Mytilus edulis: one gene and its partners. Each later gene encodes a partner of the first gene's protein in a complex. Links are inferred from orthologs where the notes say so. Each region holds a gene or a part of one and is shown on either strand. Other genes may lie near its edges. The genes, in order: nuclear pore complex protein Nup205-like, nuclear pore complex protein Nup54-like, nuclear pore complex protein Nup214-like and nuclear pore complex protein Nup107-like.

Region 1 (7,439 bases):
GTATCTCAGATCCGTTAAATAACACTTAAAATAAATTAAAAAAAACGTTACCCTATTCCTTTACCAAATACTCATTGGAGAAGAAATACCATTTGAAACAAACAGAAAAGATAACCAGATGCTCCGCAGGGCGTAGCTTTATACGACCGCAGAGGTTGAACCCTGAACGGTTGGGGCAAGTATGGACACAACATTCAAGCTGGATTCAGCTCTAAATTTGGATTGTGATTAAATAGTTGACACAGCATAGGTTTCTGACACAGAATGAATGTGTTCTAATGAACTTAAAATTTTTGTTTTCTCTTAGAGCAATTCACTATGCTGTTGAATATTAATCCTCTCAAAAAAATGTTTGAAGAAATTTTCTTTTTATTTATGAAATTTCAAATGAGAAAAATTGAACCCAATTTTTTTAATCACATCCCCCTTTCCCTTATTCCAAAACTAATCTCAATTAAAATTTCTAATGGAGTTTGCAACAATAACTACTCATTTAAATACATCATAAAATATTAAGATGTAAAAAAAATGCTTGTTATCACTGAATGGTAAAGATTATTTTAATTTATCAGTTGGTAGTAAAAAGTGAACATGCATTGTATATTGTATATAACAAAGATTTAAGTTGATTCTGGACAAAGAAAGATAACTCCAATTAAAAAAAAATCTTGCTATTGCACAATATTTTGCAATTAGATATTTCTTGCTTACTATTCTGGACAAAGAAAGATAACTCTAATTAAAAAAAAATATTGCTATTTCACAATATTGTGCAATTAGATATTTCTTGCCATTGTGCAATACTTTGCAATTGAAAAGACTTGCTATTGCACAATACTTAATATAATAATTTTAGATCCTGATTTGGACCAACTTGAAAAATGGGCCCATAATCAAAAATCTAAGTACATGTTTGGATTCAGCATATCAAAGAACCCCAAGATTTCAATTTTTGTTAAAATCAAACTAAGTTTAATTTTGGACCCTTTGGACTTTAATGTAGACCAATTTGAAAACAGGACCAAAAATGAAGAATCTACATACACAGTTAGATTTGGCATATCAAAGAACCCCATTTATTCAATTTTTGATGAAATCAAACAAAGTTTAATTTTGGACCCTGATTTGGACCAACTTGAAAACTGGGCCAATAATCAAGAATCTAAGTACATTTTTAGATTCAGCATATCAAAGAACCCAACCAATTCATTTTTTGTCAAAATCAAACTAAGTTTAATTTTGAACCCTTTGGACCTTAATGTAGACCAATAAGAAAACGGGACCAAAAGTTAAGAATCTACATACACAGTTAGATTCGGCATATCAAAGAACCCCGATTATTCAATTTTGATGAAATCAAACAAAGTTTAATTTTGGACCCTTTGGGCCCCTTATTCCTAAACTGTTGGGACCAAAACTCCCAAAATCAATACCAACCTTCCTTTTATGGTCATAAACCTTGTGTTTAAATTTCATATTTACTTATACTAACGTTATGGTGCGAAAACCAAGAAAAATGCTTATTTGGGTCCCTTTTTGGCCCCTAATTCCTAAACTGTTGGGACCTTAACTCCCAAAATCAATACCAACCTTCCTTTTGTGGTCATAAACATTGTGTTTAAATTTCATTCATTTCTTTTTACTTAAACTAAAGTTATTGTGCGAAAACCAAGAATAATGCTTATTTGGGCCCTTTTTTGGCCCTTAATTCCTAAACTGTTGAAACCAAAACTCCCAAAATCAATCCCAACCTTTCTTTTGTGGTCATAAACCTTGTGTCAAAATTTCATAGATTTCTATTAACATAAACTAAAGTTATAGTGCGAAAACCAAGAAAATGCTTATTTGGGCCCTTTTTGGCCCCTAATTCCTAAAATGTTGGGACCAAAACTCCCAAAATCAATACCAACCTTCCTTTTGTGGTCATAAACCTTGTGTTAAAATTTCATAGATTTCTATTAACTTTTACTAAAGTTAGAGTGCGAAAACTAAAAGTATTCGGACGCCGCCGACGACGACGACGACGACGCCAACGTGATAGCAATATACGACGAAAAATTTTTCAAATTTTGCGGTCGTATAAAAATGTAGTTATCCCTAATATCTCAATCCTTTTTTTCGGCTGTAAGCACGCTGCTGTAGCTAACGTTTTCTAATGCGTAATTGAGACATCTCTAGTATATTCAAACTACTGCAAATTATAAAAATGGCTTTCATAAAGTAGCAACCACTTAACTTAAAACTAGAGGCTCTAAAGAGCCTGTGTCGCTCACCTTGGTCTATGTGAATATTAAACAATGGACACAGATGGATTCATGACAAAATTGTGTTTTGGTGATGGTGATGTGTTTGTAGATCTTACTTTACTAAACATTCTTGCTGCTTACAATTATCTCTATCTATAATAGTACTTTCTGTGGAAAATGTTATTGAAAATCTTCAAATTTTAAGAAAATTGTTAAAAATTGACTATGAAGGGCAATAACTCCTTAGGGGGTCAATTGACTATTTTGGTCATACTGACTTATTTTTAGTTCTTACTTTGCTGTACATTATTGCTGTTTACAGTTTATCTCTATCTATAATAATATTCAAGATAATAACAAAAAAACAGCAAAATTTCCTCAAAATTACCAATTCAGGGGCAGCAACCTTACAACCGATTATCCGATTCATCTGAAAATTCCAGGGCAGATAGATCGTGACCTGTTCAACAATTTTACTTCCTGTCAGATTTGCTCTTAATGCTTTGGTTTTTGAGTTATAAGCCAAAAACTGCATTTTACACCCATGTTCTATTTTTAGCCATGGCGGCCATCTTGGTTTGTTGGCCGAGTTACCGGACACATTTTTTAAACTAGATACCCCAATGATGATTATGGCTAAGTTTGGTTAAATTTGGCCCAGTAGTTTCAGAGGAGAAGATTTTTCTAAAAGATTACTAAGATATAAATCCTTTTCAAAAGAAAAACTATATAAAAGCTTAGTTTGGACATTTTTATAGCAATTAAAAATAAAAAGGATTTTATATTTTTATGAATCATATATCATTTAAAATAATTCATCATATATTCAGTAAAATATGTGTGAAATAACAATATGCTATTGATAAGTTTCCTTGTCGAGATAACCTAAAATACTATTCTTTTGAATAAAGATTTTTTGAAACCAAAAAAGATTATCTCCCCTTCCTACAAACATATTGCAATTTCACAAATATTTTACTGAATATGAAATGTTTTTATTCACATAATGTGTGATTCTTATGAATATAGAATACTTTTCGAAAGAAAAACTATATAAAAGCTTAGTTTGGACATTTTTATAGCAATTAAAAATAAAACAGTTCACCTTTAGTATGGTAATGGCTATAATATATATATACAGATTGATAGACTGATTTAGTAATACCATCAATAAAGTGGAGTTAAAGTCTTATAGGATTGTAAGTATATTTTATTTTATCACCTTGCACTTTCACATTTTGACTGAACAATTTGTTCAATACTCTGACCAGTTGAACAATTTGATTTTATAAAACAAATTGCAATTTGGTCAAAATTTTTAATGAGTTGCAATTGGTAGATAGCAACACTAACAGTCAAGTCACTGTAAAATGTGTGAACAAGATAAGTTTAGTTTCATTTTGAAAAGTAATGATACGGACATTAGTACTGTAAGTGTAGCTGGAATAAGCGATATGTATGATTTGAACATTCATTTAAAGCAAACATAATGTTGTTAAGAGCTTTTATAGTATTAAAGCTGATTGTAATAGCTTGAATTAATAATATTGTATGAATAACACCTCCACGCAATGTAAATATAAAATATGTATCTCTTATCATGATCATTGAGAAAATATGTATGTTTTTTTGTTTGTTTGTTTATTTTTGTATTTGTAAATGTCGGCTGGTATTATTTCTGTCTAGGAATTTACACCAATATTTGATTTTATTTTATTTACATGAGAGACATGGGCAGTTGTCCAGTCATCTGCCAGACTGGAACAATACCAGTTATAGGCTGACTTCTCAGCAAAGCGGATGATGGAATGTTATCTGGTTCTGCTGATTTGTTCGGATTTAAGTTATGCAAAAGTTTTTGTATAACTTGATTTTTATGAATAATTTTTATAAGGACAAGGATAGTAAACTATACAAATCCTTGACATAAAGGATGTATATACAGCCATCGCAAACGAGAGATACGGTAAAGACGGTAAACAATCTTTCATCATTATTTTCTTTGGCCCATTTACTTTATCGCAATAATTATTATTTTCTTTGGCCTATTTTCTTTCTCACAATAATCATAATATGATAATGCATGTTTTTAGAGACATATACATATATAAAAATGTCTCTGCTTTTTTAAAATAAAATACACGATTAAGAACCATTTCTATCAAAGGGTCGAGTTGTATAGGTCGATATTGTAAAGTGCCGATAGAACGTGAATTCATCTGGGTTCCTTATACAAAATACTCACTACCGTCTGTTTGAAGTGAAGCATCGGGATTTTATCAGGATACCAGTTTACAGCCACTATGGCATCTGGGGGCATGGCGGTAAATTCAGGTGAATTTTACTATTTAATTACGGGAAAAGGTTAAGATCTTCTTTGGCTCATATTGTTATTGGCTAGAGCGCTGCTTTTAGATCCCGTGTTTGAGGGTTGGATTCCCACTGGCACCATCCATAGATTTACACAACACCTGTCAAAGTGTCATGCAATATATTTTAAGTTCCTCCTCATTCAGTCCCAGAAAGAAGAAATATTATGGATAATTTATAATAATCCACTGGAACAAATATTACAGTATAAAATTGTTCCTTTAATACGGAATAAAGTTTATGGATATGGCATTATTTACAACAAAGTTTCCAGAACATATATTTTATGTTAACAAATCGAAATTATATGATTTTGTCTGACATGTTTCCTATAAAAATAACAAAAGCTAAAATGTGAAAAATTATTTATGAAATTTCGTATTATAACATTCAAACAATTTCTCATTTGTCCTATATGAAAGAAATCACAAGTACATAATCAGGGGTTAAAAAATCCGCTAGCCCGACACCCGGGACTAGAGCATTTACGCATCAGGCAATCAAAATGTGTAACCCAATATGCCCGACGGACTAGTATCACAAATTTTTTGACGTTTCCAAAATAAAAAGGAAGAAAGTTGAAAATCCTTTCATCACTATTCTATCTTAGCCAATCAGATTCAATTACAAATGTACGTCATCCGAATTCCAAGAATTTGAACTGGTTTGTACACTCGTGGTTTTGTACATATTTCTTTTAAATAGAACAAATAACTCTGGGTGGTCCGGTATCATGTATAAATATTGATTTCTCATACCCTGCCTGTGGTATTGTATATTTATTTGATTGCTTAATGCTAATGGTGAGATTTTTCAATTAACCGTATTGGGGGTATGGAGAATTGATCATTTTGGCACGGACGGCTGTTGAGCTTGAAACCATGCAACAAAATATATCTAAATATTTTAGTACAGGCACCCAAGGAACTTCGTCAATTTCAAAACGAAAAACTGTAGATGAAGAGGGTAATTCGAGGCTGAAAATTCATCCCCCAAATATGCCAAATACGACCGAGAAAAGCAGGGGGAAAAAAATACAGATTGATTCCCCTGGGCAAGGTCGGCTGTTGCTGATGAAAAAACCCCAGAGACGATGCTCTGTGAAAATTGTCGTTATTTCCCCAAGCACGCCAATAAAAAGCCTGCTTTGTATGTGGGAACAACTAAGTTAGGTTAGGCCATAAAAAAGAATAGATTTGTTTGCCCAAACCCTACCTACCCAGAAAAAAGCTGCCTACTCAAATTCTTTTATTGTCCTGATTTGAAGAAGTTTTTTTTTAATCAGATAGGCATGAAGACTAATAAATATCCGATACGTAAATTTCTTTAAAAAAAAAAAAAAAAAAAGAAAATGCCTACCTACCTACCCACTGTCTCAACCTTGGGTAGGGTTTGGGCAAACCAAAATATTTTTAATTGTGGCCTTAAGCACCAACAGAATAAATAGCAGATCAACAAAGAATATTAAATACAGTGTATAATATCGCCTTCAAAACAGTGACACCCACTGTGTTGTATTATGAAGCAAAATCTAATTTTTAAGGCATACTCGGACTAGCCAGTCAGTTTTGATGAACAAGCAGTTCTTCCAACAGGGCTAGTAAAATACGGCTGCCTATAAGTTCTGGGCTAGTTAGCTGTAACAAAATTTTTTAACCCCTGCATAACAAGAACTATTTAGTATAAATAATCTAGTCTTCACCTTGTATTACTGTACACCTAATCGCTATTTGTCTGCCATTACTGACATAAAACAGATTCCTGTAACATTTTGACATCATAATACAAAATATCTGACGCCACAATGGAAAAGTGATTGTTGTATGACGTCTATAGTACAAGTGGGACAGATTCTCAGGTCAGCCGGGGATAGTGATAAGGTGTAATTACATGTACATGTATAAGTGCATAATTTCATTCTTAAGGCAGTGTCTGAGAAACCCTCCAAGCATTGACGAGTTGCCAAATTGGCCTGTGTAGGCTAAACACATCCACATTAAGTTTTATTATAGTAAAATGTCATTGCATCAGGGTTAAAGTGTGAAATATACACAGAAATTATCAGTGATTTTCCGGTTTTGTGAATGCAGTGAAGAGAAGGGCAACTTATAATTTATTAGTTCAATCTAAATTTAAAACAAATATTGCAAATGTTGTATATCTGTATGTTGAATCCGTACTTTCTGGAACTGTTGTATTGTCTTAACCATGATTGTTGTGATGATTACATGTATCAGCCTCTTTTGGCATCTGAATCCAAAGTAAAAGGAACGTAAATTGAAAGCTCTTCCTTTTTACTAAAGGAATAAAACTATACTGTCTGTGTTAAAGAAAACATGATAAAGTTAAAATAAAATGTAAATGCACATTTAAAGAATAAATTTATACTGAATTTGCCTTTAAAAAAATGCTATGTGAGACAATTATTCTAGTAAAATAGGAAACAGAAATCTAAACTATAAAATATCTTCTTTTCTCTAAAGTCACAATATACCAGTTGCGAGGTCATGGAGGTACAGTGGTTAGTTGAATCTAGGTGACTATGTCTGAATATTGATCACAAGCTGAGACCTATTATAATAAAGAATTAAAATTCCATAACAACTGTCTTTGTTATTTAATTACTTTTCAGCTACATGTAAGACAATTGTCAATTCTGATTTAAAATAAGATTAAAACTAGATTTAATCTATGTAGAATTCTCTACTAATACACATGCTTTGTTTACTACTTTATGCACATGCATGAAATTTCAGATTGGACACTTAAATCATAAATTCAAAATGATTTCATGCTAAATAAAACAAAGTGCAACTATTATCA
Region 2 (7,849 bases), on another chromosome or scaffold:
TTCAATTTAATTCAGTTTATGTTAAGTCTAGAGGGGGGGATAGGACATTTATCGGGACTCCGGGATCTGGTGTTTTTAAGCTCGGGATTTCGGGATTTACTCCTTCGGGATCCGGGAATTCTTTTTTTTAAATTTCGGGATCCGGGATTTAACTTTATTTAAATTCGAGACCTCGGGATTTCGTGTTTTTAAGCCCGGGATTTCGGGATCAGGACCCCTCCTACCCCCCTCAGTCTAGTAATTCAGTTTCCTCGTTGTGTTTTGTAGATCACACAGGGTGAGTTTTGAATGATGATATTTGTTTGCAGGCATTACAGGATGTATGCATTAGGGTCTGTATGAATGTGTGATCTTTAATTTCTTTATTCTTTAATCATTTCCCTCTCTATTCTTTATTTATTTTGCCATTATTCTTTATATTTGAGCACCCTTTTATTCTCTATTCTTTACTCTTTTCGCTCATCTCTATATTTCAAAGATGTTAATTATACACTTTTTCCCTATTATTCTCCTTTGTGTAAACCTCATCCAAACCCTTATGCACAACTATCGCTGGAACCAAGGAGTCGACATAATGCAACTGTTGTGCTGCACGTCCCTTTTAATTTGGTTTTCGGTTTTTTTTCTTTTACAAATTTACTGCTATAACTAAGAGATTTCCATGATATTGACACTTGCAATCAGAATACTGGGTCATTAAGTATCATAGCAGTTTTTAGTAAACATATATAAATAAGTAAGAAAAAAAGAAATGAAAGAAAGGGAATTATAGCTAAAATTAAGAATGGAAATGGGATCGAATGCGGCAAAGAGATAACAACCCGACCAAAGCGCAAAAAACAAGCGAATGCAACCAATGGGTCTTCAACACAGCTAGAAAATGCTGCGACCGGAGAAGGGCTTCAGCTGGTCCCCAAACAAAATGTGTACAAAGTATTAACTAGTCAAGAGAAAGGGTTGAGTTATTCGACGTGCATTTGTGCTCCAAGATGTGTCTTTTTTTATTGACCTGTTCAACAGCTGTTACGTTGATATGTATAATTCGTTTAAGTGTGCGCTTTAAATCGAGTATTTCAATGCAACGCGTAGAATTATAGGAAGCCAATAGACTTTCAACATCTTACTGTAAATAAATACATGTGTACATGTATTTATAAAATATGAAAAGGATTCAAAAGTATAGTCGATACAAATATAAGAACATGATTGTGGCTCCTATATCATTTAAAGATTATGTATGCACCTTTCCCCTTACTCTATTTTCAAAACGAATATTTCATACATCAGTGAAATGAATTGAAATGAAGATTTCTTACCTGCATGTTTATTGCACATCCATTAGATAAACATAATATGGTTTTTACAACGTCCGCATACGGGAAGTATATATTTGAGTTTCGACCGATTGTGACACATTTAACTTTATGACCAGATGACAGGTAACAACTTTGGGGAAGTATTTTTTATCATTTAAATTTTATAGTTTACTTAGTATTCCGACTACCAAACAAAATGCACTAAGTCTTGAGGTTTTAATTTCAAAAGTGTCCTTTGTTGATTTTTTCAGTTATTAGACCGTAAATACGATATAAAAGAAAGGATGTTATGGGGTTTTTAGGTGGGAAATTATCGTATATCGTACGAGCTTCTTTAAAAAAAAAGTGCAATAATGTTAAATCAAATGCTGTCATGATATCATAGTTTTATTCTTTATTTTCAGCGATTCGTAGACAGAATTAAAGGAAGGAAACATGGAAACAATTAAAAACTTCCTTTTTCAAACATTATATTATTTATAGAATACTATATATTTGTATTTAAATAGATGTAGCGGCTCACTTGTACGCCTGTAGAAATAAACATGAAAATCGCTGATACCACAGGAGAGACCCATATACTACTGTTATAAACCGGTGTCACTTACAGGCGGGTTACCAACAAATGCGTCTAAAGTAAATACGTTGTACAATGAATAATGTACAATGAAATTAGATATACATTACACAATTTCAGCGTTAGAAATTAATACCTCCTAAAGCAAGTCATCTGCCATAAAAGACATAACAGCATTTTATAAGATAACTCAATATTTGAAGTTCACACCAATCTAATTTTACACGCGAATCACAGTGAGCTAAATTTTCTAAAATCGAAATTTTAGCCATGCAGATTTAGTATCGAAAGTTTGAAAGATAATATGAAAAGTAGATGCGGTATGATGAATGAGACACTACGCAGAAATTAAGAACTATCATAGGTCACCGTACGGCCACCAACAATAGAGCTTATAAATATTTCAAGAGTGTGATAATAATAATAATAATAATAATAAATTCTGTATTTAAAGAGGGTAACTTAATTAGAACTAGTCTAATTTTCATTGTGGCCCTCACACAAAAATAAAAATCACTGTTTATAAAATCGGAGTCAAATGAAAATTCTTTACACGTCTTGTCGTCAATAAGTTTGTTTACTGTATGTTATTGAGTTGCAGACTAAGGTGACCACCATACAACGCTTTCCCCTACAATAAAAACAAACTAATTTGTTGGTATGAAAGGCTTTGTCGTTTTTGTCTCGCTCTGCTCATCTCAATTTTTTAAGATTTAATTTCTTAGTTTCAACATGGTCATTAAGGAAAATATAAAGAAAAGAAAAATGGTGAATGGATACGGAGAATGTGTCGAAGCGACAAAAACCCGACCAAAGAGCAGAAAACAGCCGAAAGCCACCAAAGGGTCTTCAACACAGCGAGAAAATCCCACAGCCGGAGTCGTTCTTCAGCTTGCCTCTAAACAAAAATGTGTACTAGTTTAGTGAAAATTGACGTCATACTTAACTCCAAAAAATATAAATGAACTAAAATTATAAAAAAAAATCTAACAAGACTAACAAAGTCAAGAGACTCCTGACTCACGACGGGCAAACAACGGCGAGGTTAAACATGTTTAATGAAATCTCAACCCGGGCTCCCCTTATACCTCTAGCCAACGTAGAAAAAAACACAGTAATTCGCAAAGAACTCAATTTATGAAAGTCCGATTCTGATGGCAGATTAGGTAACAAAAGAAACAAACCAAAAAACAATGGTTTATGAATCATAAATCAACAAAAGACTACTAGCAGTTACTGACATGTCAGCTCCAGACCTCAATTAAACTGATTGAAAGATTATGTATGTCTTTATCATATGAAAATCAAGCACAATCCTTCGATCCCGTTAGAGGTTTAGTATCATAACGTCATACAATATATGAGAAAATGTATCCCGTATCATGTCAACAATTGGTTTTAGAATGAATGTGTATATTTCCGACGCAAGGACCCTTTGAGTGAATCAATATTAAAACCAAACTATGCCATCTTTAATGACCTGGCAATAGTATCGTAACTATATCCCTCCTGAATCAGTCTATTGAAAGGTTTAGTTAGCTTTTGCCATTTTGGGGTTGATGTCAACATTGTTGTGCTTTATAGAGAATATTACAATAAGAAATTTGATGTAAAATACCTGAACACATAAGATATCTGCATGTTGATTTATCATTTACGAATTATGTCCTTACATGTGTACCAATGATAACATTTAGTAAATCTTTTGACTAGTTTGTGATATCGAAAACCCTTGTGTAATAATTTTTCATTAATACAGTGATTTCTTTCATTAAACATGTTAAAATCAAATACGTTGTTTTAAACACCGATCCCCCCTATATATATAGGGGAGAGGGGGAATCTGAGACAAGTGCCTGTGGTTCATTGTTAGTATTAACTTAATTTAAAGTCAACTCAGTTAGATGTGTCTTAATAAAATTGTCATTATTGAGATCAAATATATTTAGTATGACGTCCATTTTCACCGAACTAGGCTAGTACACATTTTAATTGAAGGGCTAGCTGAGACTCACCGCATTATTTTTTTTTTATCAAATAAATATTGTTGGGGCCGGTGTTGAAATTCTAATATCTTTCAAGGGAGGCTTTAGGTACATTTTTTTTCATGTTTACAACATGTACAAGTGGGAAATAAGAAAAAAAGAGAAGTTCTTATGTTCACTCTACCCAATCAAAAAAAAGTAGGCCTAATTACTAGTCTGTAAGTACGAATCCGAGATTTTGATACCCCACTTTCGATTTTCATATACAATTCAACAAGTCAAAGGTGTAGACAAAAGTTTAAGAAATCTGTGACATAGCCCATTTGTCATAACTTGAACTTAAGATATATATAACAGGGTTTTAAATTGATTTTAGAATTCAATATGAACAATATATAATTTGAATTAACAAACTATTTTAAAAATTAATAATTGATAGTCATATTTATTATTAAAATACCAATAAAGTATAGTCATTTATAATTTAATCAGTGTGTTAATATATATGAATTATTATTTTTACCTGAGATTACCTGTAAAATGAATGCGCGCAAATGTAATCAAAAGCTGCGCGCAAACATAAAATATTTTAATCCCCAAATGCGCGCAAACGTAGTGCGCCCCTTCAGAACCAATTGTGTCTATACTAGTATATAACATGGGAACAGTATATATCTATTAATAATATATGTTCCTGTTCGTGTCTCTTTTAGTTCATTAGTTTGTAAACTAATCATTTAAGTATTTGATTTTAATACAGCAAGGCTATAATTATGAAAACTTGAAAGTACCAATAATTTTCTTAAGAACAAAGAGACGTTGAGCAATCACTTTCGATTGATAAAGTCGCTAAATTATATCTTCCAGTCGAAAATTGTCGCTAAATTATTCTTCTTGTCACTTCTTGTCGCTGAAATCCTTCTTGTCGCTAATTAGTGTAACCGAAGTAATCTGTTTAGGGGAGATAACTATTTTGCTCTCCAGTCAGGAGGAAAGAAACGCGGGAATGGAAATTTAGAAATTTAGGAATAGAAAAAGTATGGCATTTTTTGGAGGAGCAGCGACGACTCCTTTTGGAACAACAGCTACTACATCTACTTCAACAGGATTTGGAGGATTCGGCACACAAACTCAAAGCACAGGTATCATTATATTAATTATGGATTATCAGATAAAACTGCGTAAATTATTTTAGTCTGAAATTATTTGTGTCACAGGCCACTTGTTTCTATCTATGGGAAGACCCACTATCAACGTATATTTACGTAAATTTGGTACTTTCAAAGAGTCGTATCAAAAAAGAGGTGCACCATAATATGATTTTTTTCCTGTAAAGTTGTAAAGTCAATAATTTAAACTCGTATTTTGAGTTTTATATGAATTAATCAGTATTTTTCTCAAAATCATTAAAAATTAAAATTGCATTCAAGTCTCAAATGACAGAATCCTAATAATAAATGCACACAATAATTTCTGAATTTACAGTAAATTTAATCAATACTTTCACTTTACTTTCTCTTTCAATTGCTATTTATAACGTACATATAGCAGGGGTTCAAATTAGCGGTGGACCTTCCACTATTGCAATCAGACTTTCGTTATTGTTACAAGCTACGCTCAACAGACCTTCGATTTGAAAGAATATAAAAATTAACTTTGCCGACCTTTTTAACCAAAATTTCCAGACAATCTCAAAATTTATTTTTATCTTTATAAATTATGACAGCGATGTTCATTTTGTTCAACCGCTAGTTTTATACCGAAAATCGCCAACAAGTAATGTGTAAATCCGAGTAAAATCGTATTTGACTGACATAAACAACATTGAAAATCAATGCATGCCATAAACCGGAAGTGAAGACAATTACAATACCGGATCAGATTCCGGTGACGGATAAGTGTAACTCCGAATTTGCCGATCAAATACATTAAAAAAATAATAATTCCAGGCAGGTGACAAAATACATCTTTTATGATGAAATATAAATACTAGAATTGAAAACCAAAAGATATATTGAAAAGAAAGTGAAAGAAGGAAAATATTTTTATACAGAAACTCAAAATTACTTTTAGTTCACAAATTTTCGTGTCAAAATCCAATAAAATGTGACAGTAATTTTCTTCATCATTACTAAATGTTGATATTACATGTAGATGTTTTTATAGTGTGAACATATTACTACAATTCCAAGAGGTAATTTCTTTTCAATTTTGAAGGCCAGTAAAATCTCAGGAAGTTTTTTACTTTATTTTCACAGATGACTATAATAGTGCAACTAGATGTGACACACTTAAACAGCTTTGAATTTGAACTTTAATTGTATTCTCGGGTATGAATTGAACAATATAAAAAGGAGATGCATATGGTCCTTTATATTATAGTGAAAACTACAAGACAACACACCCACCAACAGTGACACCCTCCCCAATACAAAAAAAAAAGGATTATGTGAATTCATATACAAGACAATTACATTTATTATTAAACATGTTATACAACAGTGACACTAACAATTAAACAAGCTAACCCAACACCAAAAGCACATTAATTTTGTATCTTACTGAGTTATGAAATATTTCAAGTGAAAGTAGGACCTGTAATTTAGGTTGTGGACCTTTCAGTTTGGAGTGTCAAAGGTCCTGGACCTTCTAGTACCAAATGTTAATTTGAACCCCTGCGTAGTCCAAATAATTATGACGTCTTGCAAGGCTATTTTAATTTTTTTCTGGGATGCCTTCCTACAACATCATAGGACAGTCAGGGGACTTACTGTAAAAATCACTTATTTGAGTAGCAAATTCGAGGTCTTGTCACAAATTGGGATTTTGTAGTTTTTTTTAAATTTTAAACATATAGGTTTAAATAGCATCTTTCAATTAGTAAAAATTAAAAAATATGAACTTTTTGCTTCTGTTAAGTAGCAAGGTTTATGCCTTTGATGCTATCATTCTGAAAATTCTATTTTAGTTGAAAAAATGCTATAATAATGGCTTTACATAATGAACTGATACTTTCTTAAAAGATTTTTCACAGCAGTGGGAGTATTTTTCCTGTGAAGTTCAAGGTTTCATCTTTCAGATTATGTAATAAAATTCTACTGTTCGCTGTTCGCGATAAAAATTTCACTGTTCGGGGGTGTTGAAATTAGTGGGGGTTATTAAAAGAATGATACTTAAAGAAGTGATTTTTGGGAAGGAAATTGAGGTCTGATACTTAAACAAGTGATTTTTATGTCATTATCCTAGATTCAGTACAAGGTCATCACCTGAAATGACCTGGTCATCCTAGACAACACAGATGACTGATGTTGGTTCTGATAAATTTAGAAACATAATTTAAGGCCCTGGATCATTAGTATTCTATATTTAAAGCTACACTAATATTAAATCACTTCTTCTAGTGATTAATTTGTACTACTTAAATAGGTGATTATTAGAGAAAGACAACTCTAACTTCGAACCTTTATGGAAATAATGTTACTTGAATCAGTGATTTAGAAAATCACTTGTTTAAGTAAGTCCCCTGACTGTAGGACAACCCAGAAAAAATTAAAATAGCCTTGCCAGACGTCATAATTATTTGGACTTTTTATAACGTTACTTTGACTCATCATCATGACCTAGTCCAAATAATTATGACATTTTAAAGGCTATTAAATGTTTTTTCTTTGACGCCTTACATCGACAATTATTTGTCACATGACTTTATAGCAAATCATTTCACATTTACGAAGTGTTCTTCATAACTATATGTTCAGGTTTAACAAAAAATCGTTTTAATGAAATTTTATACATTTTGTCATTGCAAAATGATGTACATTTGTATTTTAAAAGATTTCTCAGATCGTTTTTTAAATATTGATCTTTGAACTTTGAGGTATTTGTTCATTGAATTTTCAGTAGCCACCGTCTTGTTTGATATGGAAACCATTTTACACAACTGGGATGTTCTTTAACATGTTTAAAAAGAT
Region 3 (7,338 bases), on another chromosome or scaffold:
TATTCATGAGGAAAAGTAATATCAGGTCAGTGACTGTATATGGCATAGAAATATACAGTCAACGCATTTTGACTGCTCAAATAGAACGAGTGCAGTATAAATTCATTTAAAATATTGCAACATAACAAATAGATATCTTCAAACATTTTTTTAAAAATTTATTATTCCACTAACCACCAAATTCTGAGCTAAATACCACTCCAACTAACCATGTTTAATACTCATCAATATTATTTAAGAGTTATTAAAACATTTTTTGATGTATGTCATTGGAGAAAATCTGGTGGTACTTATTGTTATTTCTGTTGCAAAATACCATAAATTCAAAAATTTTGCCAGTCCTTTTTAAAATGTTGGTGGTATGCAGCTTCTGATCACAACTCTTGTTATTTGAAATTATGTTTAATTGCTTGAAATACACAGAAAAAGAAACTAGTGCATTGTGTAGTATTTATCATGTTTATTAGAAAAAAATCAAATCTATGAGTTTGTACCTAGAAAAACACTTTTAAAGGATACTAAGGGTTAACAATGCAAGAATACATCAGCTCCATGGAAAAAAAAACAGATACTGGCTCTCTCTGGAGAAATTCTCTTTAATCAAACCTATGAATAAAGACTTTATGTCTATATAATTTACCTGACTGACAAAACTTCTAGTATCATATATGTAGACTTGTGACAAATCTGCACTTTCTACAACCACAGCCAAGCTAAGACTGTCACAACTAAGTGCCAACAATGATGGAGGGGCAGATAACTCTATTGACGCCTGGCAAGGATATTCTTTCACAATTATTTTTGTTCTGTCTTTAGCATGTTCTCTATCAATTCTACTCAGTTCAGATGTCTGTATCACTTTAAATCCTACAAATATGATGAATAGAACATAGGCTCACCAAAAATGAGGAAAAAATTAATCAAAATATCTTTCTCGATACTATCATGACTATCTTTTGATTGTAAGAAGCTTCTGTCCAAGTTTAGTTAAAATTCAGTGTAGTTTATGAATCTAATAAATATTTTAAAAACTTTAACTGCAGACTGGATGTAATGTTAACTGGAAGAAAAACTAAGTCCATTTACAGGTAAAATACTGAAACAGGAACAAAATTTTAACAACATTTCCTACTAGATACTAGCATTTTATCATAAACAAGCTTCTGTCCAAATTTGGTACAAATCCCAGATAGTTTAAGAAAGTTATTAAAATTTTAAAAACTTAAACCACAGAGTGAATGTACATGTAATGTTTCCTGGCAGAAAAACTAAGTCCATTATTGTCCATTTATTAGTAAAATACGGGAAAAAATGGCATTTTTTTTTACAAAATTTATTTCTGGATACTATCATATGATCATGATTATACACAAGCTTCTGTCCAAATTTGGTACAAATTCAGGAGAGTTTAAGAAAGTTATTTAAATTTTAAAAACTTTAACCACATCAGTCATCTAGTGAATATTTGTGGACGCTACTGACAACAACAACAATGACGTAGACGCCATAATGTAGGATCGCTATGTCTCGCTTTTTCGACAAAAGTCTAAGGCTCAACAAAAATTAGATAAGACTGCAATGCAATAGAGATTTTAGCCTTTCATTGGTTCAATTACTATTAATCATATTCATGCATTACATTTACAGTTTACAGTTTGTGCAGATTTTATCCTAAAATTATGCTAAAATCATGAAAATTATTTACCATTGTTTAGATCATACATCTTTTTTTAAATATTTAATGCTATGCATTTTTACCAGCTTTTTAATCATGTATAGTTTACACTTATATGCTTTTAGCTTTAATACTTAGCTTAGCATGCTTATATTCTGCTTATTACCACTATGCTTTTAGTCCTTCATTTTGTGCTGCGTAATTTATTGCTTGTGTATTATGTGTTGTATTGTTTTAAATGTTGTATTGTTATAAATGTCTTGTATGTCAGTTAAAAGCTCATTAGAGCTTATGTTGTTTATGTTTGTATACATTGCCGACTCTAAATAAAGCTTATTTATTTATTTACCTCTTCTACCAGGCAGGTCTTCTAAAAATATGTCTGGCATTGAACCCTGAACTGCTTTTTTTCCCCAAATGACTTACCGTTACTTGTACCAACAAAGACTACTCCATATTTTGAGGAAGCTGCAACTAACTGAGGACTCTTCCCCCTTACTGGTGAATTGCCATCATCTATCTGAAACCTGCATAGCTGCTGATATCTGAAATCCTGATTAAACAAATTAATGGACAATTAATATGTGATCTGTTTTCCATTTATCTGAAGTCTTTATAAATACAACAACATATGATTCAATATCAAATAGAAGTAAAACTTAAAATAACTTTATTACATGGCCGCACTGGCTCCCTGACCTATAAACTATAATTGGAGAAGACAATACTTAGTTGAAAAACTTGTGTCTATCCCATTTGTCATTTTGAACAAGAAAGTGTGTTTAAACTTAAAAACATATATAAGTCTTGTTTCCAAAAATCATAGACTGTATTCCTGCCAACTGTCACTATTTGCGAGGGTTTCCCCCTTTAGAGGCTTCCAATTTGAAATTTTGAAAGAGCAATTTTGTCCAAAATTTAAAACAAATCAAACAATTAATCATTGGTATAGGATTGTATACAGTATGCATGCAAGTATGAGGAAGCAAATAAACATCATTAAAATAAATTTGAAGGCCCCTTTACAGGTTGTGTAGGACTTGGAGAGCCATTTTGCACGTAAAACACCCATGGGCATTTTGAAAAGTTGGCAGGTATGCAATGTAAAGTAGGTCTATACTGTTTTTTGTTGCAAAAATTTTATAAAAATGAGTTTCAAAATAGTCATTTCTTCGACATTGTAACACCTGCCTACTATTACACATTACAAACACAACATACCTTCACGTCTCTTTCCGGAGGTTCGTCAGCTGTTGCCATAATCTAAATCTAAACTTTCGCTTTTAAATATTGCAAAATTTGGCCCCAAATTGTAAATATTGCAAAATTTCGTTCAATGTTAAATTTTAATAATCTGAAGAAAAATACAAATAGAGAAGAAAATCCTATACCTCTATCTGAAATGTCAAATTACTTAAAAAAGCTTTATGAAGAAAATAATACTGATTTAGATATCTCGAAGATAGAAATTGAAAATATTAATAATAAACATTTAGATTATGCATTCATTTGTAAAGAAGTCAGAGATGGCATTAAAAAACTTAAGAAGAATAAACAACCAGGAATAGACCTTATATATAATGAATTCCTTTTATATGGAAAAGACCTATTACTTTTACCTATTGTTAATTTATTTAACAGAATTTTATCAAGCGGAAAATTTCCAGATGCTTGGAATTTATCTTGTACTTCCTTCTTACACAAAAATGGTGACATAAACATATGCGATAATTATAGATGTATTAGCCTTACCAGCTGTCTTGGCAAGCTTTTCACCTCATTATTACAGAAAAGACTGCATAAATATATGGAAGAAAATAATCTTTATAATCCCTTTCAAGCAGGATTCAGACCAGATTATAGAACTGCAGATCATATTTTCACTATTAAAACTTTGATAAATAAATATTTACACAAATTAAAAAAGCCTATTTTTGCTTGTTTTGTAGATCTCTCTAAAGCTTTTGACTCTGTTTGGCACTCAGGATTACTTAAAAAACTATTAAATCTTAAAATTGGAGGAAATTTCTATAAGATAATTAAACATATGTACTCTAATTCAAAGTTTGTGGTAAAAAAAGAAAACTTTATTTCAGAAGCTCATAGAGCCAATAGGGGTGTTAGACAAGGTGATGGTCTTAGCCCTCTGTTATTTAATATATACACTAATGATCTGCCAAAAATATTTGATTTTTCAAAAACATTTCCTGTGTCACTCATTACAACACAATTTAATTGTTTACAATATGCAGATGATTTAATTCTACTGTCAGAGAGTGAAAAGGGTTTACAAGCTTGTCTGGACAGCCTGGGAATATATTGTAACAGATGGAAGTTGAAAGTCAATATTACTAAAACTAAAGTTATGATTTTTAGTAAGGGCAAGAAAAAATCTGCCATCAAATTTAAAATTAATGGTCAAAATATAGAAACAGTCGATAAATATAAATATCTTGGAATGCTGATTTCATTTAATGGCAATTTAAAGCATGCCGCAGAACATATGTATAATAAAGCTCTTAAAGCAGTATTTAGTCTTAAATCAAATATTCTAGATTATAATTACTCTGGTACCAAGCTTAAGCTAAAGTTATTTGATTCTCTAATTAGACCTATTACAACCTATGGATCAGAAGTTTGGATATCCGATTTTACTTTAAAAGATTTAAATAAAGATAATATACCATTTGAAAAAATACATAATAAATTTTGTAAATATCTACTTGGAGTACATAAAAAGGCATCAAATTTAGCCTCCAGGTGTGATTAGGAAGATTACCAATTATTAATTTTATTACTAAATTGGCTTTTAAATATTTCATAAGACTGCAACAACTTCCATCTGATAGATTTCTTGCTGAAGTGTATAAAGTAGATAGAGGACTTTTCAAAGAGGGGTCAAAATCATGGTATTCATTTATTGATTATAGTTGCAAAAAATTTAAATTGGATGTAAAGAATTTGGAAAATGAAAATCTAGAATTGAAAATACACGATCAAACCATCCAACTAATTAAAGAACAGCTTCAAAATTATTCTAATTACAATTCTGACTCAAAGCTTAAATATTTTTCATTTTGTTACACAAATTTTTCTCTTCAAAAATATCTTGACTTTAATATTCCAAAAGCACTATGTAAAAATTTGACTAAGTTAAGAATTAGTGCACATTCTCTTTTAATAGAAAAAGGTCGTTATCATAGACCAAAAATTCCGCATAACTCAAGACTTTGTCAGACTTGTGATTTATTAGATGATGAAAAACACTTCATTTTATACTGTAAAAAGTTTTCAATTTTAAGACAAGATCTCTTCAAAAAATTAAATATCGACCCCTCGGATTTAAATAAAAGGGAAAAGGAATCTACTATTCTACATAACATTATGTATCCTTTAAATAAAATTGATACAAAAGCTATCTGTACTTTTATTGAAAAAGCTTTTGAACTATATTAATGTTTTACAACTTATATTAGCTCTGTCCAGATATTATTTCTAATGTATATGCATTTATTTTGTATTAATTGTTTTAATATCTGTTCATTGTGTGGAAGACATCAATTGTGCACTGTACATATATATTGATTATCCAATAAACATATTTGATTTGATTTGATTTGAAATTTAATCTTTAATATCTCATTATTTCGCAATTTGTCTAAAACGTACAAAAGATTTTGATTTAATTTCTTCGATGTTTTCGTTTATTTTGAACTAAAATCGAGAGGATAACCGAATGACGTTGTCAGGAAAAATTAACTCATGCGCACCAAACACTTCCATTAAATTCCTATACTATTCGGTACAAAAAAAACTAGAACGGAAGGTAAACAAGGTAAACCATTCTTTTGTTATCGATAGAATGCGGCAGTTAATTGTACTTCATCTATGAATACTCTGTTGAAATTTTTCCACATTTTCCTACCTGGTACCAGATCAAACAACAACAACCAATCAGATAAATTTATACAGATACATGTATATTATAATAAAAAAAAATGTTCTTTCCAGCATAAAATACACTGGTACTGGATGCCCTCAACCAATCTCTTGTTCAATTGAAAGAGTAATAATCAACTGCTCTATCAATAGGTACACCTTATCGCTATATATATATGTCTGTTGATTACTGGATATTACACAGGTTCATAAAACAAACTATCTGATGCCACAATGGAAAAGTGATTGTTGTATGCGTCGCAGCTGGTATTAGCATTAAGGTGTATAGACCGTATCGCTGTTCCCGCTTCAGCGTTTGACCCAAGAATCTGGCCCACTTGAATTTTGACGTCATACTACAATCACTTTTCCATTGTGGCGTCAGATATTTTCTTTTATGATGTCAGAATTTTAAGGGAACTTTTGTGATACCCAGTAATGGCCGACAAATAGTGATAAGTGTATCCTCTATGGTTGTAATGGGGGACGAATTTATAACAGTAAATTATTTTGCCAAATGCGCGATATGACATTAATCATGTTAATGCAATAATTTGATAATTTAATAGTAATTTTTGGTGCTTGCTGATTAAAAGTAAATGGACTGAATTTGATGAATGAAGTTAAATTCTTTCTGAAAATTAGTGATGACAGCAATTTGACGAAAGAAGAACTTGTAATTCTTTCTAAAAATATTGATTACGGCAATTTAATGTAAACATACATTTTTAAAAAGGGTATGATGCCAATGAGACAACTGTCCACAAGAGACCAAAATGACACAGACATTAATAACTATACATGTAGGTCACTGTACATTGTATGTTACAATATTTAGTTCATTTCTCATTAGGTTAAAGGCTACCAATATGGCTGCCGGGGGTATGGAGCCAATGGACTTAGAAGGAAACCCCTCCCCTACTGATGAACAGGACAGTAAATATGGCTGCCTTGCTAATTTTAAAATAGATAAAAAGATAGGAAAGGGACAGTTTTCTGAAGTATATAGAGCTATTAATAAAATAGATGGCAGTGTTGTAGCATTGAAGAAAGTTCAGGTAAATATTTATAAAATGTAGAACTGACACTCATTTCACAAAAAATCTTTCAAAAAAAATACTTGTACAATTCAGTCATACAATTTTTATATGTAAAGAGCCACTGGTGATTAAACTGTTAGTAGATTGGGATAGAAAATGAATACTAGGTTTTGGTCAAACATGTCAAAGAGACAACAACCCATCCAAAAAGCTCAAACAGCCCAAAATTGTATTGATGTGGAGAGAAAAGCATGAAAATAAGAAAATGTGGAATGATTGCCAATGAGACAGCTATCCACCTGTGTCCAAAAGGTGTGGATGTAATCAAATATAGGTTACTGTACAAACCTTCAATAGTGAGCAGAATAATACAGTATGGTCTTTGTTAAAATCCTCAACATGACAAAATATGAAACCATTGGCAAGATCTAAGATTCATGGCAAACAATATACATGTACATGATTTACAGGAAAACATAAATAACAGACAGTAACAAACTACAACCAGCAGGTTTCTGACATTTATCTAATCAAGACTGACAGTTTATATCCCTTTCAAATTAATTCAATTAACACTGCATGATCATGATGATAAACTAATAAATGAATGATTTGAAAATAAGTTACACATAATACATCTTTGAGCATGTTTAGTTTTAGTTATACTATATGACGATTGTATCA
Region 4 (7,908 bases), on another chromosome or scaffold:
AGTCGTATAAAAACTTAAACCACAGAGTGAATGTTTGGCAAAAAAACTAAGTCCATTTATAAGTAAAATACGGAAAAGTGGAAATTTATTTTTACAAAATTTTCTTCTTGATACTATCGTATGATCATAAACAAGCTTCTGGCCAAGTTTGGTACAAATCAAGGATAGTTTATGAAAGTTATTAAAATTTTTAAAACTTTAACCACAGAGTGAATGTAATGTTTCCTCGCAGAAAAACAAAGTCCATTTATAAGTAAAATACGGAAAAGTGGAAATTTATTTTTACAAAATATTCTTCTTGATACTATCTTATGATCATAAACAAGCTTCTGGCCAAGTTTGGTACAAATCAAGGATAGTTTATGAAAGTTATTAAAATTTTTAAAACTTTAACCACAGAGTGAATGTAATGTTTCCTCGCAGAAAAACAAAGTCCATTTTTAAGTAAAATACGGAAAAAATGGAATTTTATTTTTACAAAATTTACTTCTGGATACTTTCTTATGATCATAAACAAGCTTCTGTCCAAGTTTGGTAGAAATTCAGTATAGTTTAAGAAAGTTATTAAATTTCAAAAACTTTAACCACAGAGTGAATATTTGTGGACGCCGCCGCCGCTGACAGAATGTAGGATCGCTTAGTCTCGCTTTTTCGACTAAAGTCAAAGGCTCGACAAAAAGTGCAATTGAAGATTTCTTGCTATTGCGCAATACTGTGCAATTGAAAATTTCTTGCTATTGCACAATACTGTGCAATTGAAGATTTCTTGCTATTGCTGAATACTGTGCAATTGAAAATTTCTTGCTATTGCACAATACTTAATATACATGATATAATAATTTTGGATCCTGATTTGGACCAACTTGAAAACTGGGCCCATAATCAAAAATCTAAGTACATGTTTAGATTCAGCATATCAAAGAAGCCCAAGAATTCAATTTTTGTTAAAATCAAACTTAGTTTAATTTTGGACCCTTTGGACTTTAATGTAGACCATTTGAAAACGGGACCAAAAATTAAGAATCTACATACACAGTTAGATTTGGCATATCAAAGAACCCCAATTATTCAATTTTTGAAGAAATCAAACAAAAGTTTAATTTAGGACCCCAAAAACAAAGAATAATGCTTATTTGGGCCCTTTTTTGGCCCCTAATTCCTAAACAGTTGGAACCAAAACTCCCAAAATCAATCCCAACCTTCCTTTTGTGGTCATAAACCTTGTGTCAAAATTTCATAGATTTCTATTTACTTAAACTAAAGTTATAGTGTGAAAACAAAGAAAATGCTTATTTGGGTCCTTTTTGGCCCCTAATTCCTAAACTGTTGGGACCAAAACTTCCAAAATCAATCCCAACCTTCCTGTTGTGGTCATAAACCTTTTGTTTAAATTTCATAGATTTCTATATACTTAAAACTAAAGTTATAGTGCGAAAACCAAAAGTCTTAGGACTATGACGACGACGACACCAACTAGATACAAATTTACGACCAAATTTTTTTTTAGTTTTTGCAGTCGTATAAAAATATTTATTTTGACCCCTTTTGGGCCCCTTGTTACTAAACTATTAAAACCAAAAACCCCAAAATCAATCCCAACCTTCCTTTAGTGGTAATAAAGCTTATGTTAAAATTTTATTGATTTCTATTTACTTTTACTAAAGTTATTATCCGGAAACCATCCGTCTTCGGTCGACAACAACGTGATACCAATATATGACCACAATTTTATAATATTTGCGATCGTATACAAATAATTAAACACTAGAGAAGTATTTCTCATTTCTGTGATAGAGACCCTTTGTGGAACTCTTCTGAACTTTTCGGGGTTGATTTGTCAACATTAAATTGTTCCACCTTACATATGTTACAGAAGTTCAGGAAACTTTGTTAAAACAATGACATAACATTTTACCTGTTACTTTTTCTTTGAGTACATTTCATGAATAAAGTATTACTGTACATTCATTATTATTCATTGGTTACCAATTTTCGTGGATTTCCTGGGTATTGGTGAACCACACAATTAAATATTCAACGGATGACAAGTTTTCTAAAAGCTTGTATGAAGACTCTGTCAAAACCCTGAGCTTAAATGTTTACAAACATGCGTTTTTCTTCATCCACGAAAATTGTTATCTATGAAAATAAATGTATCTAGAGTATACCATCTATATGACATAATTTTTAGACAATTCAAATTCTTGCACACTAGAATTTAGAAAAGTATCCTTTATTCGATGTCAGGCAGGGAAGGGGATGGGTTATTTGCATTAATTGCAGCATGGCTGATGCAGTGTTATAATGTCTGAAGTTGATGCAGGAAGTAACGGCCAAACTGCCATGACGTCCCTAGGACGAAACGGACATACCCCGAAAATATGAAACGGCCATACCCCGAAAAGATGAAACGGCCATAGTACAAAAACGGCCATACTATGTAAAGACGTATCGTCCATGTTTTAATTTTTTTTTTAAATGTGATGTTATATATGAAATATTTTCAAATTGATACTTATAGATGGTTATTATAACTTTTTAATAAACTATACTGTTTTTACATTATTTATCATGTTTAATTTTGTTATATCATTTGTTTACGCATTATGTATATCATATAGGAATGTGTTTAATCTAATAACATATTAAAATATCATATTGTTTTCCAAATGATTTTATGATATCTTGCGTATAACTAACAGAACAAAATGCACAAATATGATTCGAATGACTTTATCCGAATGGGAGACTTATTTCTGTCAAAATTATCAGTCAGAGCTCAGACATAAACAAGTCGATTTTTGTTTTTGACTTAAAGAAGTCAAAACATGTATTTATTATAAAAATGTGTTTTCAATTTTAGACTTATCTAAGTCAGAAAATGACAGACTTGTTTAGGTCTATTTATGTTGATAAAAAAAACTTAATTGTACAAATGTACTTAGTGGCCAAAGTACACCACCTATGGCAGCAAAAACCTGTCTGAGAGTTCACAAGGACTTGAGCTATCTATATTCAATTATCTAATTGAACATCCTTACTAAACACAGATGTTTTACCTCATTAAGTGTGGTTCCAGGTGGTTGCATTGTAAGATTAATTAACATTATTTTCGATTTTTTAGACTCTCATTCATATTTTTCTTTAGAAGACAAAGCATTGCCTTTCAATGTTGTCATTATTTGATTTAGATGCATGACCTTTTCATAAATATGCGTGGGACTTGGAAGTTAACCAATTTTGAGAACTTATCGACTTGTAGGAGTCAATATTTGCAACTTTTTGATCCTGGTCAATTATTTCTTGCTTAACAATATTTAACTTATTAAAGTCGTATTTTGTCTTGCATTAAAGGGAAACATATCTCAAAACTACAACTTTAGACCTCTATGAGTCAAAAGCAGATTGAGACTTATTTATGTCTGAGCTCTGACTGACTATAACTATAAGAAATGTCAGCCATGTAGTTTAGAGGAATAATAAACAACTGAAGAAGGTCAATGGCCGAAACGTCTTGAACAATTGGTTTATTTATACAATTATAAAAGGTATGTTCCCTATTGGAATTTTGAAAACAAGGATATAACTATAAGATTCAGTAGTTATGAAATGTAAAACAAAGTAATCAAGTAATGATTAAGTTTTGAATTTAAGAAGATAGTTAATTGCTTATTATTACTTCTTTGATGAACACAAGCATTAATTATGCTTTTGTAAAGAAATTTTGTTAAGAGAGCCGTGGTGTAGTGGTTAGTGCATCGGACTACTAACACAAAGGTTCCTGGTTCGATTCCAATCTGGGATGAAAATTTTGACACCATTTGCGAGTATGGTCTTGAGGAAACGATGATAGTCCGTCGGACGGGGACCATAAATAAGAGAGAGCCATATCTCTTGCACGTTAAAGACACCCTTGTAGATTTCGAAAAAGAGCAGGCTAATGCCGCTACAAGGCAGCACTCGCACCCGCAAAGTGGAAAGGGATTAACATAAGTTGCAAAACTTGTTTCCCAATCCACTATAAATAAATATGCTTAAACTAAACTAAAGAAATTCAAAAAGAAATACTGTTCAAGATCTCTATAAAAACACAGCACCCAAGCTGAGTTCAAGCGGAGTGCAAACATACATTGATTGGGTAGTGAAATGCTGTTCGAGCAGTCTAAAAAGTAACACAGGCTTTGCAATATTTTATCATTATATTCTATGTTTATATAACCTCAATAATTTTGTGTGGCCGATGTGGCGGTATGGCCGACAAATCCTATGGCCGTTATGGAAGTATGGCCGACCCGTCTCGAAAGCTCTGAAGTACATGTCACCATACTATATCAAGTTACTAATTAATTTTTTTTTCAAATGTACTCAATTTAATTATTGATAATTTATATAAAAAAAAAAAGAAAAAAAAACTGTTATAAATAATCCAGAAGTCAACATTATTAAAACAGTTGCGGATACGAGTAGCCTAATGAGAATTAAAAAAGAGCAAACAAAAACGTGGGTAAAGGGGGGTAACTCTTTTTCAAGAGAACGTCCTTTCAGTATGTTCATATTGTTTATTTGGTTGACAGGGTTATTTTCTTACTTCATTAACTTCACCATCACTACTGTCATCATCATCCATGTCACTTGACCCTTCTTCATCATCGGCGACATCGTCGGCCTGCATTTTTTCTTCAAGTTGCACAACACGTTTCTTCTTCGAAGCCATTTTATAAAGTCTTTAAGAATCTTGTGCAAAACGAAACTAATTAAATCGTTAAAATTATTGATAAAATCTTTTATTATTTGTTGAATTTCACTAGATTTATGGAGTTAAAGAAGAATTCTACAATATTTAAAAAAATCAATTCAATCTTTTATGTTAAAATTTAAAAGTAAAGTTCATTCGTTTTCATTGAAAAGTTTAAAAAGTGATTACCTCCCTTGATTTTATGGCAGCGCGAATGAAAAATAGATTTTTTTCCCTGAGAAATATAGTATGCGATCACATTAAGCACAGAAGCTGTCATAGAAGTATATATGAGATCTAGCTGTATATTGTTTTCTATTTTAACTGTACACAAAGTACATCATGCATGTAAAAAAAATTCTTACACAAAATACAAAATCCGAAATTATAAAAGAGGGATATGGTGTCACGGAATAGAAGTTCCTTCATAATATAAGTTCCAAAAGGAAAAAATATTGTGGAAAATAATTTCCACAGGAATAAATATTACAGTATATGTTCCTAACAGAATAAATGGTATATAATATTTCTTCCAACAGGAATAGATATTATGACAATGTTTATAACAAAGTTTCCATTGGAACTTCTGTTAGGCGGAACAAATATACGTTGACAATGGGGCATAGCCATAGGGGAATATCGTGTGGGGCATATGTGAGCCAAAATTTGTCCCTGTAAAAAAGATCTAGTTGAACTAATATCATAGGAAATATGATCAGGGATATGATTTCTATATAAATTCGTTACATATATATATAAATATAGGAAGACTTGTTATGAGTGCCAATGCGACAACTCTCCATCCAAGTAACCATTTATAAAATTAAACCATTTAAGGTCAAGGTACAGGCCTTCAACACAGAGCTTTGGCTCACACCGAACAGCAAGGTATAAAGGGCCCCCTAAATTACTAGTGTAAAACCATTCAAACAGGAAAACCAAAGGTCTAATCTATAAAAAAAAATGAGAAACAATTATGAACCACATAAACAGACAACAACGACTGAACATCAGATTCCTGACTTACTAAAGGGGCAAACAATTGCAGCGGTATTAAACGTTTTAATGGTACCAAACCGTCTCAATCTCTATATCCTACCCTAGTCTATAATCGGTCATCTTGTTGGTTCATTCAGACTTTTATATTGTATTTATCACACAGGAAAACTGCATTGACGTCACTACGCTTATACCAGCGTTATAAACAAGTGCAGAATATGTTTTTTCTACTCTTCCAAATTAAAACAAACATTTCTAAATATATGTTGTCGGTGTTATTCTAAAGTATTGTACAAAAATGCCAATTTTCTAAAGGCTGTTTCAAACCTGACTTCCAAATGCTTAAAAACAATTCAGAACTTCAGAAAATCCCACTTCTTGCCTCCATTGCTTTGTGTACAATCGGTCCTTGATTTTAGTCATTGTTGTTAGTCATGTTAGTGGCAGACAAAACAGGCCAAGCAAATATTATGAATAGTATTTTTAAGAATTTGAAAATGACAAGCACTTTATATTACGTCTTACACGATTTTCTCCCCCCCCCTTGAAAAAAACCATCAAAATGAAAGAAAAACATGAGGAAAAAACAATTTTCATGTCATAATTTTGTTCAAGAATATAGAGAAGGTTATAAAAAACAATAAACATATAAACATCGTCCACACTTCGGACAATAACTCAAAAACACTTTCACCAATTTCCATGAAACTTAAGTGAATTGTTTATATCTATTGACGTAAGCTCCCTTTCAATTTTTATAAATTTCAGATTTTAAGTTTTGGATTTATGGGGCTTTATTCATAAAAAAGGGGGGATTTTAAACACTTCGGACAATAACTCAAAAAGGCTTTCACCAATGTCCATGAAACTTTGGTGAATTGTTTATATCTATTGATGTAAGCTCCCTTTCAATTTTTATACATTTCAGATTTTAAGTTTTGGATTTATGGGGCTTTATTCATAAAAAAAGGGGGATTTTCAACACTTCGGACAATAACTCAAAAAGGCTTTCACCAATGTCCATGAAACTTTAGTGAATTGTTTATATCTATTTATGTAAGCTCCCTTTCAATTTTTATAAATTTCAGTTTTAAAGTTTTGGATTTATGGGGCTTTATTCATAAAAAAAAGGGGGATTTTCAACACTTCGGACAATAACTCAAAAAGGCTTTCACCAATGTCCATGAAACTTTGGTGAATTGTTTATATCTATTGATGTAAGCTCCCTTTCAATTTTTATAAATTTCAGATTTTAAGTTTTGGATTTATGGGGCTTTATTCATAAAAAAGGGGGGATTTTCAACACTTCGGACAATAACTCAAAAAGGCTTTCACCAATGTCCATGAAACTTTGGTGAATTGTTTATATCTATTGATGTAAGCTCCCTTTCAATTTTTATAAATTTCAGATTTTAAGTTTTGGATTTATGGGGCTTTATTCATAAAAAAAGGGGTATTTTCAACACTTCGGGCAATAACTCAAAAAGGCTTTCACCAATGTCCATGAAACCTGAGTGAATTGTTTATATCTATTGATGTAAGCTCCCTTTCAATTTTTATAAATTTCAGATTTTAAGTTTTGGATTTATGGGGCTTTATTCATAAAAAAAGGGGGATTTTCAACACTTCGGACAATAACTCAAAAAGGCTTTCACCAATGTCCATGAAACTTTGGTGAATTGTTTATATCTATTGATGTAAGCTCCCTTTCAATTTTTATAAATTTCAGATTTTACATTTCCGTGTTATGAATTTTTATGCTTAAAAAAGGGGGGATTTTCCAATTTTGGGACAATAACAAACACTTTCACAAAATTTTATGCAACTTTGATAAATTGTTTATATCTATTGATGTAAGCTCCCTTTCAATTTTTATAAATTTCAGATTTTACATTTCCGTGTTATGAATTTTTATGCTTAAAAAAGGGGGGATTTTCCAATTTTGGGACAATAACAAACACTTTCACAAAATTTTATGCAACTTTGATAAATTGTTTATATCTATTGACATAAGCTCCCTTTCCATTTTTATAAATTTTATATTTTACGTTTTCTTAAGTAATGAATTTTTATACTAAAAAAAGGGGGATTTTATGAAACTTTGGTGAATATATTAATGTAACATCCCTTTTGATTTGTATATATATTTCTAGTTGATCATATAAATTCATTTA

Evidence for each region.
Region 2: nuclear pore complex protein Nup205-like (region 1) and nuclear pore complex protein Nup54-like share a complex: the UniProt entries of both Drosophila melanogaster proteins name them as parts of the nuclear pore complex. The link is inferred for Mytilus edulis from reciprocal best matches to the Drosophila melanogaster genes Nup205 and Nup54.
Region 3: nuclear pore complex protein Nup205-like (region 1) and nuclear pore complex protein Nup214-like share a complex: the UniProt entries of both Drosophila melanogaster proteins name them as parts of the nuclear pore complex. The link is inferred for Mytilus edulis from reciprocal best matches to the Drosophila melanogaster genes Nup205 and Nup214.
Region 4: nuclear pore complex protein Nup205-like (region 1) and nuclear pore complex protein Nup107-like share a complex: the UniProt entries of both Drosophila melanogaster proteins name them as parts of the nuclear pore complex. The link is inferred for Mytilus edulis from reciprocal best matches to the Drosophila melanogaster genes Nup205 and Nup107.

Annotation. Positions count from the first base shown.
Region 1 is NC_092353.1:65,266,126-65,273,564, forward strand, and holds the start of nuclear pore complex protein Nup205-like, read left to right. Parts: upstream 1-4,425; 5' UTR 4,426-4,549; coding exon 4,550-4,580; intron 4,581-7,439. UniProt on the Drosophila melanogaster protein: Plays a role in the nuclear pore complex (NPC) assembly and maintenance, but with limited role in NPC permeability. Required for specific nuclear import pathways such as Mad import.
Region 2 is NC_092351.1:43,985,783-43,993,631, reverse strand, and holds the start of nuclear pore complex protein Nup54-like, read left to right. Parts: upstream 1-4,840; 5' UTR 4,841-4,917; coding exon 4,918-5,020; intron 5,021-7,849. Other genes in the region: uncharacterized protein, read right to left, coding at 1,317-1,335. UniProt on the Drosophila melanogaster protein: Component of the nuclear pore complex (NPC), a complex required for the trafficking across the nuclear envelope. Essential for the nuclear import of nuclear localization signal (NLS)-containing proteins in an importin alpha/importin beta-dependent manner.
Region 3 is NC_092345.1:2,075,704-2,083,041, reverse strand, and holds the start of nuclear pore complex protein Nup214-like, read right to left. Parts: upstream 3,024-7,338; 5' UTR 2,936-3,023; coding exon 2,897-2,935; intron 2,229-2,896; coding exon 2,102-2,228; intron 868-2,101; coding exon 641-867; intron 1-640. Other genes in the region: serine/threonine-protein kinase Nek7-like, read left to right, coding at 6,484-6,672. UniProt on the Drosophila melanogaster protein: Part of the nuclear pore complex. Serves as a docking site in the receptor-mediated import of substrates across the nuclear pore complex including emb, RanGAP and phosphorylated Mad. Protects mbo/Nup88 from proteasomal degradation at the nuclear pore.
Region 4 is NC_092347.1:43,234,018-43,241,925, reverse strand, and holds the start of nuclear pore complex protein Nup107-like, read left to right. Parts: upstream 1-4,899; 5' UTR 4,900-5,019; intron 5,020-7,908. Other genes in the region: protein BCCIP homolog, read right to left, coding at 4,589-4,714. UniProt on the Drosophila melanogaster protein: Plays a role in nuclear pore complex (NPC) assembly and maintenance. Required for nuclear import of Mad. Mediates the association between the nuclear pore complex and a subset of active chromatin regions adjacent to lamin-associated domains.